Linked DNA regions of Stegostoma tigrinum. The protein of the gene in region 1 interacts with the protein of each later gene in a pairwise test. Links are inferred from orthologs where the notes say so. Each region holds a gene or a part of one and is shown on either strand. Other genes may lie near its edges.

Region 1 (7,668 bases):
ACTTGCATTCAAACACCTGGACATTGGCCAACAACTGCAGTGAAGTATGAGTGCGTGCATCTCAACAACAACTCTTGTGAGGCACTGTGGACCAAGCTCTGTCCAACACTGAGCTGCAGTTCTCACTACACAAGCAGCACGGATAATGTAGTCAAAACAGTGTGCATGGAGGAAGTCACTGAATCAAGAAACTTGTGTGGAGAGAGGAACAGTTCCTATCTACAATCTGGTCTAACTCTTGTTCAAAACTGAAGATGCTGGAAAATGCTGCTTTTTATGTTGTAAACAGAAGGGGAGTAAGAATGAAGGGAACAGGTGATGAGGATGCAAACCCAAAGGCAAAGGCCAAAGGAGCGATTGAAATGTCAAATGGGTGTTAATGAAGGCATGAAATGGAGAAAATGTCTGCATTGCTCTGAGCAAAGTCAACAAACACAGCCATATGGGCAAATTGAAGAGAACTGGAGAAAGCAAAACACGGCAGGATTTAGGTAGTTAATAGGGCCCTGGGGAATATTGTCAAAACAGAGGTTTAGGCACTCAGTTCCTTGAAAGTGGAGTTGCAGGTAGATGGGATAGTGAGGAAGACATTTGGCACACTTGCCTCCTGTGGTCAAAACATTCCCCGGGGTCCAATCATTAACATATATGTCTGCCCAGGTTTGCCTTACGAGCTTGTAGCAACTCATATTAGGAGAACTGTTATCATGGTATGCCACACTCATCCTAAGACCTGCTTATCCACATATAGACTAAAAAAGTCAGATGGGCAAAGGTAACTAAATAAAAATTTCAGAGAATGCTTTCAGGATAGTTTCTTAGAACAGCATATTCTGGAGCCAACTGGACAGCAGTCTGTGATTTGCAAATGTGCCCTCGCCATAAGTTACAGTGACTTCTGCAATTAAAAGGTATAAATATTAATTTTGCTATTAATTTGACAGCACAATTTGACCACTATCATCACGTGGACCTTAGATTCACAGAGAAAAGTGAAACTTCTATTGTTGTGCCCCAACATTGTCTTTATCCCTACAATACCAAAGTTGTACATCCATATTGATGTAAACTTTGGCTGTGCTGCAAAAAAATGGGGAGCATTTCCTGCACATATGCAGTTGCAGTCTCAGTTGTGTTGGAGGGGTAAAAGATGAAATATGAGAGAAGTTTTTTTTAAGATATCTATAAAGAAAGGGAGGCATGAGTGGACATTGAACCACTGGAAAATGAGGATTGAGAAGTTGTAAAGGGGAACAAAGAAGTGGTGGAGGACTTGAATAGGTACTTTGCATCAGTTTTCACAGAGGAAGACATCAACAACATACCAGAACTTCGACAGTTGGGAAGAGAGGTGACTGTAGTTCCCATCACTAGGGAGAAGGTACTTGGGAAGCTGAAAAGACTGAAGTTGGATAAATCACCCAGATCACATGAACTACATCTCAGGGTTCTGAAGGAGATTCTTTTGTTATGTGTTTTGAAAGAAATAAGTGAGGAGATTGTAGTGGCATTAGTGGTGATCTTTCAGGAATCGCTAGAGTTGGGAAGGGTTCCAGAACACTTTAATACAACACCTCTGTTTAAGAAGGGAGGAAAGCAGAATACAGGAAACTATGGGTCAGTTAACCAGATCTCGGTGATTGGTAAGATTTTACAATCCATCATTAAGGATGAGATTGCAGAGTACTTGGAAGTGTATGGTCAAATAGGGCAGAGTCAGCATGGCTTCATCAAGAGGAGGTCATGTCTAATAAATTTGTTAGAACTCTTGAGGCAGTAACATGCAAGTTAGGCAAAGGAGAGCCAGTAGACATGATCCAGTTGAATTTCCAGAAGGCCTAGGGCAAGGGACTGGCATGGATAGAGGACTGGCTGACTGGCAGAAGGCAGAGAGTAGAGATGAAGGGCTTTTTTCAGCATGGCAGCTGGTGACTAGTGAGGTTCTGCTGGTTCAGTATTGGGACCACAATTATTCACATTAAACATTCATGATCTAGACAAAGGAACCGAGGGTATCGTTGCTAAGTTTGCAGATGACACGAAGATAAGTGGAGGGACAAATAAGTGTTGAGGAAATGGAGTGGCCGCAGAAAGACTTAGACACGCTAGCCAAGTGGGAAAAGAACAATGTGGTAAAGTGTGAGGTTGTATATTTTCACAGGAAGAATAGAGGCGTAGACTATTTTCAAAGTGGGGAAAGGCTTTGGAAATGTAAAGCACAAAGGGACTTGGGAGTCCTCGTTCAGGATTCTCTTAAGGTTAACATGCAATTCATCTGGTTCACTAATGTCCTCTAGGGAAGGAAACTGCCATCCTTCCCTGGTCTGGCCTACATGTGACTCCAGACCCATAGCAGTGTGGTTAACTCTCAACTGCCCTCTGGGCGCTTAGGGATGGATGATAAATGCTGCCTAGTCAGCGACGCCCTCATCCCATTAATAAAACAAAGAAAATAAAAATCTGGTGGTTATGAAGGCAAATACGACATTGGCATTCATTTCAAGAGGACTAGAAAAGAAGAACACAGATGTACAGCTGAGGCTGTATCAGGTTCTGGTCAAATTGTATTTAGAATATTGAGAGTTTTGGGCCCCACATCTAAAGAAAGATGTGCTGGTATTGGAAGGAGTCTGAAGGAGGTTTACGAGAATGACTCTGGAGATAAACGGCTTATCATATGATACAAGGTAAAGGAATTGCAATGTGTACTCGATGGAGTTTAGATGGATGAGGGGAGAACCTGAGTAAATTTGGAGGAGTAGACCGGACATAGAGAAGACGTTCCATAAGCAGGGGAGACTATGACCCGAAAAGGTAGCCTCAGGGTGAAAGGACAGCCTTTTAGAACCAAGGTGAGTAGGAATTTCATCAGCCTGAAGGTGGCGACTCTGTGGAACACGTCGCCACAGTCAGCAGTGCAGGCCAAGTGACTGTGTGCCTTTAAGATATAGATAGTTTCTTGATTAGTAAGAGGATCAATTCAGGAGAAAGGGGTTGAGAAACAGATCAGCCATTATCAAATGGTAAAGCAGACTCAATGGGCTGAATAGCTGAGTTCTGCTCCAATATCTTATGGACAGAGTGTTGAATTAAATTGAATACTCTTTTTCAAGATGGTGGCAATAGCAGGAAGAGAAGTGTTTGGGCTCTGTGTCCATACACTCCCATTCCCATTCACCTGGCTGGCTGTATTCTTTTTTTGTTTCTTCATTTCTCTTTTTTTACTCAAAGTTCACTTGTTTACTGTGGATGTGGTGAAATACGGCGGTAGCAAGAGCCTGCTGCTGCAACTGCAGCATGGTGAATCCGGATGACCGTTCCTTGTGGCCATTGCTATATCAAAGGCATCATTGTTGATGGATCTGGTCCATTAATCCTGGTGGCAGTGGCTATCGTCGTGGTGGCATGGTGGTTCCAGTTAATTCCTCTTGATTATGGCGGCAATGTGGTCATTTTGGGTAATCACTGAAGTGGCGATGGCTTGAGCGACAGATCCAGTGTTGGCAACTTAGTGGGTCCAGTCTGTCCCTCCTTGCTATGGCAGTGATGCAGTGTCCTCAGTGCAGGGTTCGATAGTGGCAGCATGGGGGTCGGTCTGGAAATTCTTGTTTTGGCAACTTCAGAGGTGGCTTTGGCCATGGTGTCCTATTGCCACTTCAGAAACCCAGGAGCAAAAGATAAATTTTGTCTCAATTATTTATTTTTATAATTTTTGTGATTAAAATGGCACCAAATTGTGGTGACTAATAAACATCTCACTGTACTTGCACAATTGCAAGTGATGGTAAATTGTTCTTCTCTTCTATTAGCTTAACAGATTCACCATTCAAGTTCCCATTTCACGTCTGTTCAGCCCCTAACCAACAGCAAATTCTCATATCCAGTCTACCTCTTGTTTATCAACTCTTTCCTTAGGAAAAAACAGTGCTTCTGATGAATCAGTAGATGACATCTAATCAGGAAATTTCAACAAATGAAATTCCCAACAAACATTAATCTAAGAGATCAGATAGTAATATTTAAGGACATCTTTGTATGAATGTGATCAATTAAAGTGGGTGATCAGTAAAGAATGTAATTTTTAACTCAAACCTTTTAAAATTATTAAATTAAAATTTCTTAATAAAATGTCACATACCAGACTTGTTTGAATGTTTTATTAAATCAAGATTTCAGATCTGTAATGGTAAATTAAAATTTCTTCCTTTGTTCAATTTCGGCTCCATTTTCTTTCAACAGTGTCTGCAATGAAAATCTGTCAAATTTCTGATTTTAAAATACCGATTCATATTACAATACAGATAAGTCAAAATAATTAGGTTCAGATTTTTGCCTTAGCAGAGATCTGGTGAAAATAGCAGAACTGCTGGATGATCTCGAATTCTGTCCTAGTACAGGCTTCGTCGGAGGCTCACTGATGATGTTACCTAGAATGGTGACGAAACGTCTGAAAACGAACCTTCCAGCTCAGCGAGCAAACTCACATCCAGAACCTCAACCTGAGCTACAAATCTTCTCAAACTCGCTAGGGGTAAATTGGGTTAGTGGCCGTTTAAATCAGCAGTAACAGGTGGGATTTTCTGAAGAAGGCTCTAGGACCGAAACGTCAGCCTTTCCTGCTCCTCTGATGCTGCTTGGTTTGCTGTGTTCATCCAGCTGTACACGTTGTTATCTCGGATACAACACTGGCTGTTTCCAACAATGTTATGGAAGTGGAAATTACCTTGGCAGTGACGCAGATATCAGCTGCTTTCTAATTACAAATACACAACGGCGGTGTTGTTTTACCTTACAGGTCAAACTGCTTGAGGCGAGGTTAAGAAGGCAGGACCTTCTTGATAATCTCAGCCCATGGGGGGGATTGAACCACCCTGTTGGCGCCACCGTGCATTGCGCCGTCCAGCTAACTCAGCTGGTATCCGTGATACCAACATCCTAATTTCACTCCAAAGTCTGCTGTCATTTTTAAAAATATATCAATTAACACAAATATTGATAGGTTCGCCATCGTTACAATCAGTTTGTGCCTTTCTCGGTAGAGGAAGGTAAAAGAGAATTGGAATAATCGCGCTCCAAAAACGAACGATTTTGACCCTGCGGGCTCCCCGTAATGTTAATCCCCCTCCCGTGGATTGACCGTTGCTGTAAGGGTTGCGGCGAAGTCTCGACGAGATGCAGAATCCCCACCAGTTCTCGGTTCTCATTACCTCCTGCATCAAAACCCCCGTAAATCCGAAGACCAGGATACCCTCTACTCTGTACGAGAGAAGGAAAGCGCCGACTTTACGAAACAGCCAGAAACCATCTGTCGCCGAGGAGGTGAGGGCCTTGCGGTTGTTGTGTGTTTTGCGGGGGGAGGCGTTTACGTCACTGATTCATGGCGGCCACGTTGTCAATGGTAACGAGGTCGGCTGCTCGAGCTGAGCTTTGGGTCCAGGGTTTGCGGTAATGTTTTTCTGAAAAAAATACTCAAGAATGAACACTGTTCAAGTTAGTGTGAATATTCTAGCCGCTTGTGTCTTGGAGCAATTTTTTTTTCTTAATATTTGGATTGATTATGCCCCGGCAACAAAAGTATTCGCTTTCGTCCCCCTTTCTTTCAAAGGCAGCACTCATATTCTATCGCCGCAGTTTTATTTGTAGAATCTGGCAGTTGGTTTTTCTCCCACTAATTTTAGACGATCGGAATCAAGTGTAAACTATTCGAAATGGTCAGGGTTTGATCGAATATGTGATTAGGGATTTCCATGATGATTATTGTGTTTATTGAATATGGCATTTCTTGGTAATAAATATCGTGTATTTTATGTAATTTTGCTCAGTGGATCAGGAGCTGAAGTCATAGAGTTGTACAGCACGGAGACAGACCGTTCAGTCTAACTCGTCTATGCTGACCAGATATCCTAAATTTATCTACTCCCATTTGCCAGCATTGGGCCCATGCCTATCTAAACCCTTTCTATTCATGTACTCACCCAGATTCCTTTTAAATTTTGTAATTGTCATTACTGATGATATTGCACCATGTCAGAGAGGGTAAATTTACCAGGGTTTGGCTCCAGGAGTTGTCTCTCACTTATAGTTAGGTCGTTCAAATTTAGTCTGTGATCAGCAATACAAGAGTGTGATTTTAGGTGAGGCAGGTATGGGGAAACAAGAGATAATGGGAACTGCAGATGCTGGAGAATCCAAGATAACAAAGTGTGAAGCTAGATGAACACAGCAGACCAAGCCTTCATCAGAGGATCTAGGCCCGAAATGTCAGCTTTTGTGCTCCTGAGATGTTGCTTGGCCTGCTGTGTCCATCCAGCTTCACACTTTGTTATTATGGGGAAGCAAGATACAGCTTTTAAGGAGCTTCAGTTCATGCAATTCTCCAACAGTTATAAGGTCTTTGAAATCAGCTTGAACCAGAGTGGAAACTGCAGGAAGGATGAGCAAACTAATAACAACATTGTGGTGCAGGGAGCCATTAATGTGGGTGAAGGAAATTGAAATGGAAATACAGGAGCAGTGGGAAACAGTACAGTTATGGGATAGATGCTGTTCTTCTTAGCTTGAGTCCCAAAGGCTGTATTGCCTGCCTGGTGCCAGGGTTAAGGACTTCTTTAGGCTGGAGAGGAATTTGGAATGGGAGGGGAGGGATCCAGTTCTCACTGTGCAATGTTGGTAACAAAAATATTGAAAAAACTGGAAAGGAGTTCTGCTGAATTATCTTCTGATATTGAACAGTTAGGAGCTAAACTAGAAATAAGAAATTCAAGATTCTGAGCCATAGCAAACTGACATAGGGTTAATAAAGTCAGAGTTAAATGCATTTCTTAAAGATTGGTGTTGGAAGAGTGCGTTTCAGCTCATGGGGCACTAGCACCAGTTTTGGAACAGAAAGAAAACGCCTTGTTGGAGAAACGCAGCAGGTCCAGTACCATCGGTAGAAGGAGAAATAAAATTAATGTTTTAGGTGTGTTATTAATTTCTCCAGTATTGAAAGGAGCTAAGAATGTTTTTTTAATGCTGTGGACTGACAGGGAGGAGGAACAAGCAGAACAGATTGTGAAGGCACCCTGTGCAAAAGTTGAAGGCAGTGATAATGATAGTAAATGAATATAAGTAAGTAATATGGATTTAAATGACAGCTGGTACAGTGACAATACAGTATGGAGCTGGAGGAACCCAGCAAGCCAGGCAGAAGAGCAAGAAAGTTGACGTTTCGGGCCGGGAGCCGCCTTCAGAAATGGGGAGGGTGAAGGGAGCTCAGAAATAGAGAGAGGAGGTGTGGGGCTGGGGAAGATAGGTGGGATAGTGATAGGTGAGTGCAGGTAGGGGTAGTGGGGATTGGTCAGTGGGAGGGGAGGGGCAGATAGGTGGGAGAGAAGATGGGCAGGTTGTGTCAAGTCAAGGAGGCAGGGGAGGGTTGGACATGGGATGACGTTGGGGTGGGGAAATTTTAAAACTGGTGAATTCCATGTTTAGGCCTCCGGGCTGTAGGCTACCGAGGCAGAATATGAGGTGCTGCTCCTCCAGTTTGCGGGTGGTCTCATTGTGACGCTGCAGAAGGCCCAGGATGGACATGTCACCAAGGGAGTGGGAGGGGGAGTTAAAATTGTTGGCAGCCAGAAGGTTGTGTATAGAGCACAGATGCTGTACAAAATGGTCTCAGAGCTGACG
Region 2 (7,014 bases), on another chromosome or scaffold:
GACAGTCTTTGGCGTATTCTTCTCCTGTGCCAGTCATATGCTTTGAGATTATCTACACACGGTGTCTACTTCAATATCAGAAATTATAAACCTATTCAGCCTTGATTACTTGAGAGATCTTAATCTCAATTCAGTGACACCTTTGCAGAAGTTCCCGGGGTAATGTCCTAGCTCTAAACAGCCTCATCAATGACTGAAGGTTCTGAGTCCTAATGCAGCCAGACCTGGACAAAATCGTGGCTTAGGCTAATAACAGGCAAGTAACATTTATGCCACACAAATGCATGGCAATGACAATTTCCAACAAGAGAGAATGTAACCATCACCTTTCTGATTACATCTTTCAGGTGTTATGAAAAACAGGAGGTTGGCCCCCACAATTGGGCTTTGTTGGACTCATTTTACTTTCATGAAATGAGAACAATGAGATTTTATACCCAGCAGCTTGCCAATTAAGTAATTAATACCATCTCCCAGGCTGTTAGCTAAAACCTTCATATTCTTCTTTTTCAGATTAATCAATTCCTTATTGAATGCATCACTTACACCTGCCTTCAACATACTTTCGGGCTGTAAATTCCACCTCTTAGCCATTTGCTGTGTGGACCATAAAACCTCAGAGCAGAAGTACACCATTGAACCCATCAAGTCCACTTTACATTCAATGAGATTGCTTTTGATTTGACAATCCTCAACTCTACTTTCCTGTTTTTTTCCCTATAAGCTTTGATTCAGTTTCTATTAAAAATCTATCTCAGCCTGAATATACTTAATGAACCAACTTCAACAGCCCTTTGTGGTAAAGAATTCCACAGATTCACTCTGTTCTGAGGCAAGAAATTCCTCCTCATCAAATTTTTTTTGTTTCTTTTTGTCTTCTATTGCTTCTTTTGTCACATACTTTAGGCCTGTATGCTCTTGATTGTACTCTGCTTCCATGTGTAGCCACAGTTTTTCCTCTCTACTCTGTCCAGATCCCTCTTGATTTTATACACTTCTACCAAATCTGCTGTCAACTTTCCTTTCTCAAAGGAAAACAGTCCCAACATCTCCAATCTTATTAATAACCGAAGTTCCACATTCCCAGTACCATTCATGTGAATCTTTGTTGCAATCTCTCTCACAGTGCTGAAGTTGAAGCTGAACCAGTATTTTATACAAGTTTAACATAACATCCTTTATACTCCTGCCACCATTAATAAAGTTTAGGATGCCAGTTATTTTATTAACTACCCTTTCAACCTGTCTTGCCTGCTTCAATTAATTATATACGGATATACCCTGTTTTTTCTATTCTTGCATCCTGTTCAAAATTTTGCCTTTTATTTTGTAGTGTCTTTCTGTGTTCTTCCTACCAAAATGAATCACTGATACTTACAGAATTGAATTCATCCATAATTTGTCCACCTATTCCACCAACTTGTCTATGTCCTCTTGAAATTCTATACTATTCTCCTTACATCACACAATACTTCTGCAAATTCTAACGCAACACCCTGTACACCAAGGTCTTTAATATATTCAGGGCAATTAACAGTGTAGCTGGACAATGAGCTGGGTCTTTGTCCCTGCATTCTCCAATCTTTCTGCTTTATTTTGTCAGTTTATAAAAAGTGCCTGTTCTCCCTAACTGTCTGCACTAGTCATTTACTATTAATTTTCAAAGTCCATTGTTAGTGATTCAATTTAAATGACATTTATACCAAGTAAAAAAATCTAAGTAATTTTAATAAAAAGCCAGTTCATTATTCTAATAGTAAAAGGGAAATTCTTAACTTGATTCCCATTTCCTACAATTTTGTTCTGTTCTCTCAAAGCCATTGAATTATGTTGAGGTGAAGTCTAAGTCACATAGTCCCAGGGGACCATAGGCTGTTCTCTCATAATAGAGAGGTGACTGGTGTTTTAATTTAACCTGAGGGTCAACAGGCTGCAGGCGAGGTTGCAAAGTTGGGGCCTGCATGATGACCTCAGGTGGAATGGGAATTGCTTCCATGGGTTGGTCTCCCTGCACCACGAACAAGGCTGCTCTTGAGTATTCTGCAAATGTACTCTTCATGTATGAGTCAAGGTTGCGAGCTTTGGCAGTCAACATGATCAGAGGGAGATCTTCCAGCTGAAGTCAATCTTGTCTTCATTCAATATCCAAATATGTATTTATTCCTACATGGAATACAAGTTAGTGAACAAGGTCTGGCAACAGTGTTTTCCCACTCACTATTTCAGAGATATTGAATCTTTCAGTGTCACTTTTACTGTTGTCTTACTTGAGATCAACCAATCCACCTGGGGAGAAAAGGGATCTCCCAGTGTGTGGTTTAAACACACATTTTGTTTGTAAGGGGCTGGCATCCTTGAAGCTGTTTTAATTTGGGGTATTTGATTAACTGATTTTAAAACAGCTACACATCTCCTTTACAAAGTGAGTTGAGAAAACCTTTTTTCAAATAATAAAAAGAACTGATGCTAGAAATCCTAGACAGACATAGAAATAGCTGGAGAAACTCAGCAGGTCTTACAACATCTGTGGAGAGAAAGCAGAGCCAATATTTTGGGTCCAGTTATGAAGAAGGGTTACTGGACCTGAAATGTTAACTCTGTTTCCATCTCCATCGATGTTGCCAGACCTGCTGAGTTTGTCCACTTATTTCTGTTTTTGTTTCAAACTCTTTTTTTTGTTACATGCAAATTGAGTAACAAAAGTGGCGTTACCTACAAAGAAGCAAAATTCATGTAATAATGAATCCATCCAATTGATGAAGAAAAAGGTAACTTTCATTATGATGCCTTTCACAACATCAGGATGTCCTGTATGGTGAGGCATTAAATATGCCATAAATGTGTTGTGACAAATATGGCAGTCATTTTTGTGCCACCAAATAAAGTCCAACAAACAGCAATGAGATGACGACTAGATTTTTTTGAACAACATTGGCCAGGTAAACTCCAATGTCTCCTTGCAACAGCAACTTCTACATCCACTGAAAGGGAGACGAAAGACATCATCAGCAACCTTCTAATTCGAAGATCCGAAAGCTGCTACAATGATTTCTCTTTTACTTTTTCCCCTGTCCTTTGTTTTTAAAATGACGTTGTCCCACAACTTGGATTTCACCTCCTCGGGACCTGGTCCATTGTTGTAACTGCGATGATTTGCAAAAGCAGAATTCTACAGGTGCCAGAAGACAAAGAAAAAAGAACAGAAAGCGCTACATGTACCTAGCAGGCCAGGCTGCATCTATGGGCAGAGAAACAAGATTTAACGTTTTGGGTCGGTGGCCTTTCAACCGAACTCGAATTATGCAAATTATCTAGCAGTATGAGTAGAGGATTGCAGCAAGAACTGCTATCGTTTACGCCCTTTCCTTTCATGACACACTTGTCGTTTTGTCAATATTAATCATATCATGAGAACTTTTTTTCTTGTCTTTGCATTTCTCTGAAGGAGCTTTTTTTAAAAATCCTTTCACTTTTTACCACAACGTTTAGTTTGTCTCTTTGTGCTTTCGCTCGGTCTTTTCCTTTGTTTCTTTGTTAAATTTCAAGAATTAAATTTGCTTTGCTCGTTCTTCCCTTTCTGCTTGTTTGCTTATTCATTCTGACTTCACGCGACTTTCCTAGTTTGTGTAACAGGAATGTCGTTGTAATTTATTGCGGGCGTTGTAGAAAAAGTACATGGAAGGAAATACCCAGTGCCTATAAATGAGTTGTGTATTCCTTTTATAGTAAAATACATCTCACTGCGCTGTGAATCAGCAGTCTTCCATTTCCCTTTCCACCACGCAAGAACGTACGATAATTTATCAAGAAAGACTCGATAAAACTGGATACTTTATTATTCCAGTCAGAGCCTTTTTTCCTACTTGTAAATTGTGAAATGAACTGAAACCTGAACGCACACGACGAGGTTTAGAAAACATATTCATCTCAGCGAAGCTCTGATGAAATTTTACGGAACCAAAGCATTGACTGTTTTCCTCACTAACGCTGCCTATCCCGCTGAGTGTTGCCAAACATCTTCTGTTTGAAGTACGAAAGGTTAGATGATGGATGGTCGTTCATGAGCACTTTTAAAATAAATGCTGAGGGACGTGCCTTTATTGTCGGGGGTGGGGGTAACTTGAACCTTTTTGACACGTGTATTCACAGTGAAAGAAATGACATCCCAGTTCTGTGAGAGAGTATTCTGTTGCAGACCTAAACGGAGAAGAACATGCAAAAGAGCTGATGCTTGCAGTTTCTCACGCATTTTCCGCTGTTTTTGGAAATGATCACTTACTGGCAAAGGGTTCATTGTTGGGAAATCTGGACCCAAAACAGAAAACGTGTGAATGCGTAAAGTGCTTTTTCATCAATGAGCAAGTCTTTGTGTATTTTTTTTAAAAATTGGATCTTTAGCATATCCTTGTTGTTACAGAGATTGGAGTCACATTGTGGATACGTGCAGACCAGCAGCTCTCTAAACAATTCAATACAAACAGCCTGAACATTAGCGAAGAGAGAGAGAGAGGGAGGTCTGTAAGTGTAGCCTCACTCCACTCCTCCTCTCCGCCTCCAAAATGATGGGGATAGGTCAAAGTGTTAAAATTCAGCTCCCTGTCTTATCTAATTAGGAATTATAGGCCATAAGACTATAAGCACAATTAGGCCTTTCGGCCCATCGAGTTTACTCCATCATCAAATCATGGCTGATACATTTCTCAAACCCATTCTCCTGCCTTCTCCACGTAATCTTTGATCCCCTTACCAATCAAGAAACTACTTATCTCCTGCGTATATTTTAAGAATCAACCACCAAAACAAAAGACCCAATAATCCAGTACAACTCAGTTTTTGATTTTTATATCAACCTGTTTAAGCGTTTCTTTACAACTTGAATCTAGGTCTAATGGCCCAGTGGCAAAGACGCTTAGCACTGTGCTACTGCCTTTTTCAAATATTTGTCTAATTAACCTTTAATAGAAGATCCTTTCGTAAAACCTTTGGGCTAATCGATATAAAATTAAAATACATTTCAACTGAGAGAATCATTATGGATGATAATCACTGAGACGACTAAGAAGAAGGATGAATTCTCTCAGCACTCTTGCTACTTATTTTCAACATGTATTGTGTTTAGTTGATTTATTTGAACAAAATATACATCTTACAAAGAAAACGGAACCATTGTTGATGGCACAAATACTCCACGCGTTCGGGGGACCCCGGAATGGATTTTTGACAGAAGCACCGCCGCGCGTCACCGTGGCAACGGGAAATTAGAGGCCTATTTGAACGGGCTTTGAATCGTTTTGTGACCAAAGAGACGAACTGAAGCATAATTGTGGAGTTACAGTGGCGGTTGGAGTGGGCGAGAGAGATGAGATTGGAGAGCGAGCTCAGAGATAAAGTCAGGTTTTTGAGGAGCTCGACATGATGCCGTTTCTGAACAAACTGATATGAAATCAAGGTTGCAAACTGTTTGATTAAGCATCATACAGTTCTCATGCAGAAAGTTGGTGTTGATCAGATTGTAACTGGGACTTAAAAAGCAATGAGTTCAGTCTTCGGACTATTGTTTGGCGAAAATCAATGCTGATCAAGAGCACTGGCTAGAGTTTATGCTACTTCCTGCTGTCTATCGGCATCTGGGTAAGGAAACCATTTCAGTTTAGGTGTGATGCATACTGTGAGGCTAACACTACGTCAACTTAGGGCTCGCAAAAATAATCATAAATTTGGAAAGATAACATTTGGTACTTACCTGCTGCCTGAGTCATTATTCCTAGTAATGAATCAAGAGCATTGATGAGGAGGATACCAGGGGTGGGAACCAGTAATAGCAGTAGTAATAATAAAAAAGAGGGGAAGAAGTGGTAAACTGAAGATTTGGCTGTTGGTAGAAGGAATTTAAAATATATTAATTAGATTGCATACGTAAAATATGTATTTAAATTCAAAAGTTGAAATGTACGTTTTAGATTATTTTTCTTACCATCAGTGTGAAGATGAGGGTTCTACTTCCAGTGAGTCTATTTAAATGGACACAGACCTCAATGGAAGAATCAAAGTAGCAAGAATAACAATGGATAGAAGAAGGCATAACAGTGTTCTGGTTCCATGACTGTTGGTGTTTATAAGCACTTAAAGTGAGGCAACTTCAACACAGGATCAAGATAACATAAAGTTGCGCACAGGGTTTCATAATGACAGTTCGAACTTGCCCATACGTACAACTGAGAAAGTCCTTGTATCGTAGTTTCTGTAGCATTAGTTAAACTCACCAGTGTGGCAATGGGAAAGTTGACATAGTCAGGTTTAAAGAGGGAAGACACATCTAGGATTCTACATTGAGTGAATCTGACGGAAATATATGATTTGGCATCAATTTCCAAAATATCTATCTTTCTAAATTGCAATTATGATGCCATCATTATGGTTAATGCCTGTCTGTGAATGCTATACTACGCTATCATTTACTTTTCAGACTTAGTTGCAGTGAACTGTGGGCCCTGTTGCCATGCATTAAATAGGATGGAAATTTTAACTGGAGAAATTTGGTTCAAGTTTGTAATCTTCCACAGTCTTCTAGATTCTGGACAGGCCCAGGCATTGGAATACTACAGATATACTGTTTGTATTAAACAGGGGAGGAAAATTAAAAACACAAAACTATAGACCAATTTGTTTAACATCTAGTTCTGAGGAAGAGTCACTGGACCTGAAATGCAAACTCTGATTTCTCTCCACAGATGCTGCCCGAACTGCTGAGCTTTTCCAACAATTTCTGCTTTTGTGTCTAACATCTGTGATTGGAAAAATTTTGAAGTCTCTTGTTAAGGAAGTTACAGCATGATATTTACAATATCATAATATAAATGAGCAGAGTCAATATGGTTTTATAAAAGGAAAATCATGTTTGACAAATATTTTAAGAGTTCTGTGAGGATATGACAATTGACATGGCCAAAGGGGAACCTGTAGTGTATTTCTACTTACAAAAGGCATTTGATAAGATATCACAGAAGTTTACTG

What was found. The genes of interacting proteins can lie anywhere in the genome.
Region 2: the proteins of fam161a (region 1) and ccdc57 interact in binary tests that used the Homo sapiens proteins (3 or more experiments, as listed by UniProt). The two-hybrid records come from large-scale screens. The link is inferred for Stegostoma tigrinum from reciprocal best matches to the Homo sapiens genes FAM161A and CCDC57.

What each region holds. Positions count from the first base shown.
Region 1 is NC_081362.1:40,580,717-40,588,384, forward strand, and holds the start of fam161a (protein FAM161A), read left to right. Parts: upstream 1-4,662; 5' UTR 4,663-5,172; coding exon 5,173-5,319; intron 5,320-5,367; exon of another isoform or gene 5,368-5,475; coding exon of another isoform or gene 5,476-5,490; intron 5,491-7,668. UniProt on the Homo sapiens protein: Involved in ciliogenesis.
Region 2 is NC_081375.1:27,668,023-27,675,036, reverse strand, and holds the start of ccdc57 (coiled-coil domain-containing protein 57), read left to right. Parts: upstream 1-3,997; 5' UTR 3,998-4,038; intron 4,039-5,217; exon of another isoform or gene 5,218-5,631; intron 5,632-7,014. UniProt on the Homo sapiens protein: Pleiotropic regulator of centriole duplication, mitosis, and ciliogenesis. Critical interface between centrosome and microtubule-mediated cellular processes. Centriole duplication protein required for recruitment of CEP63, CEP152, and PLK4 to the centrosome.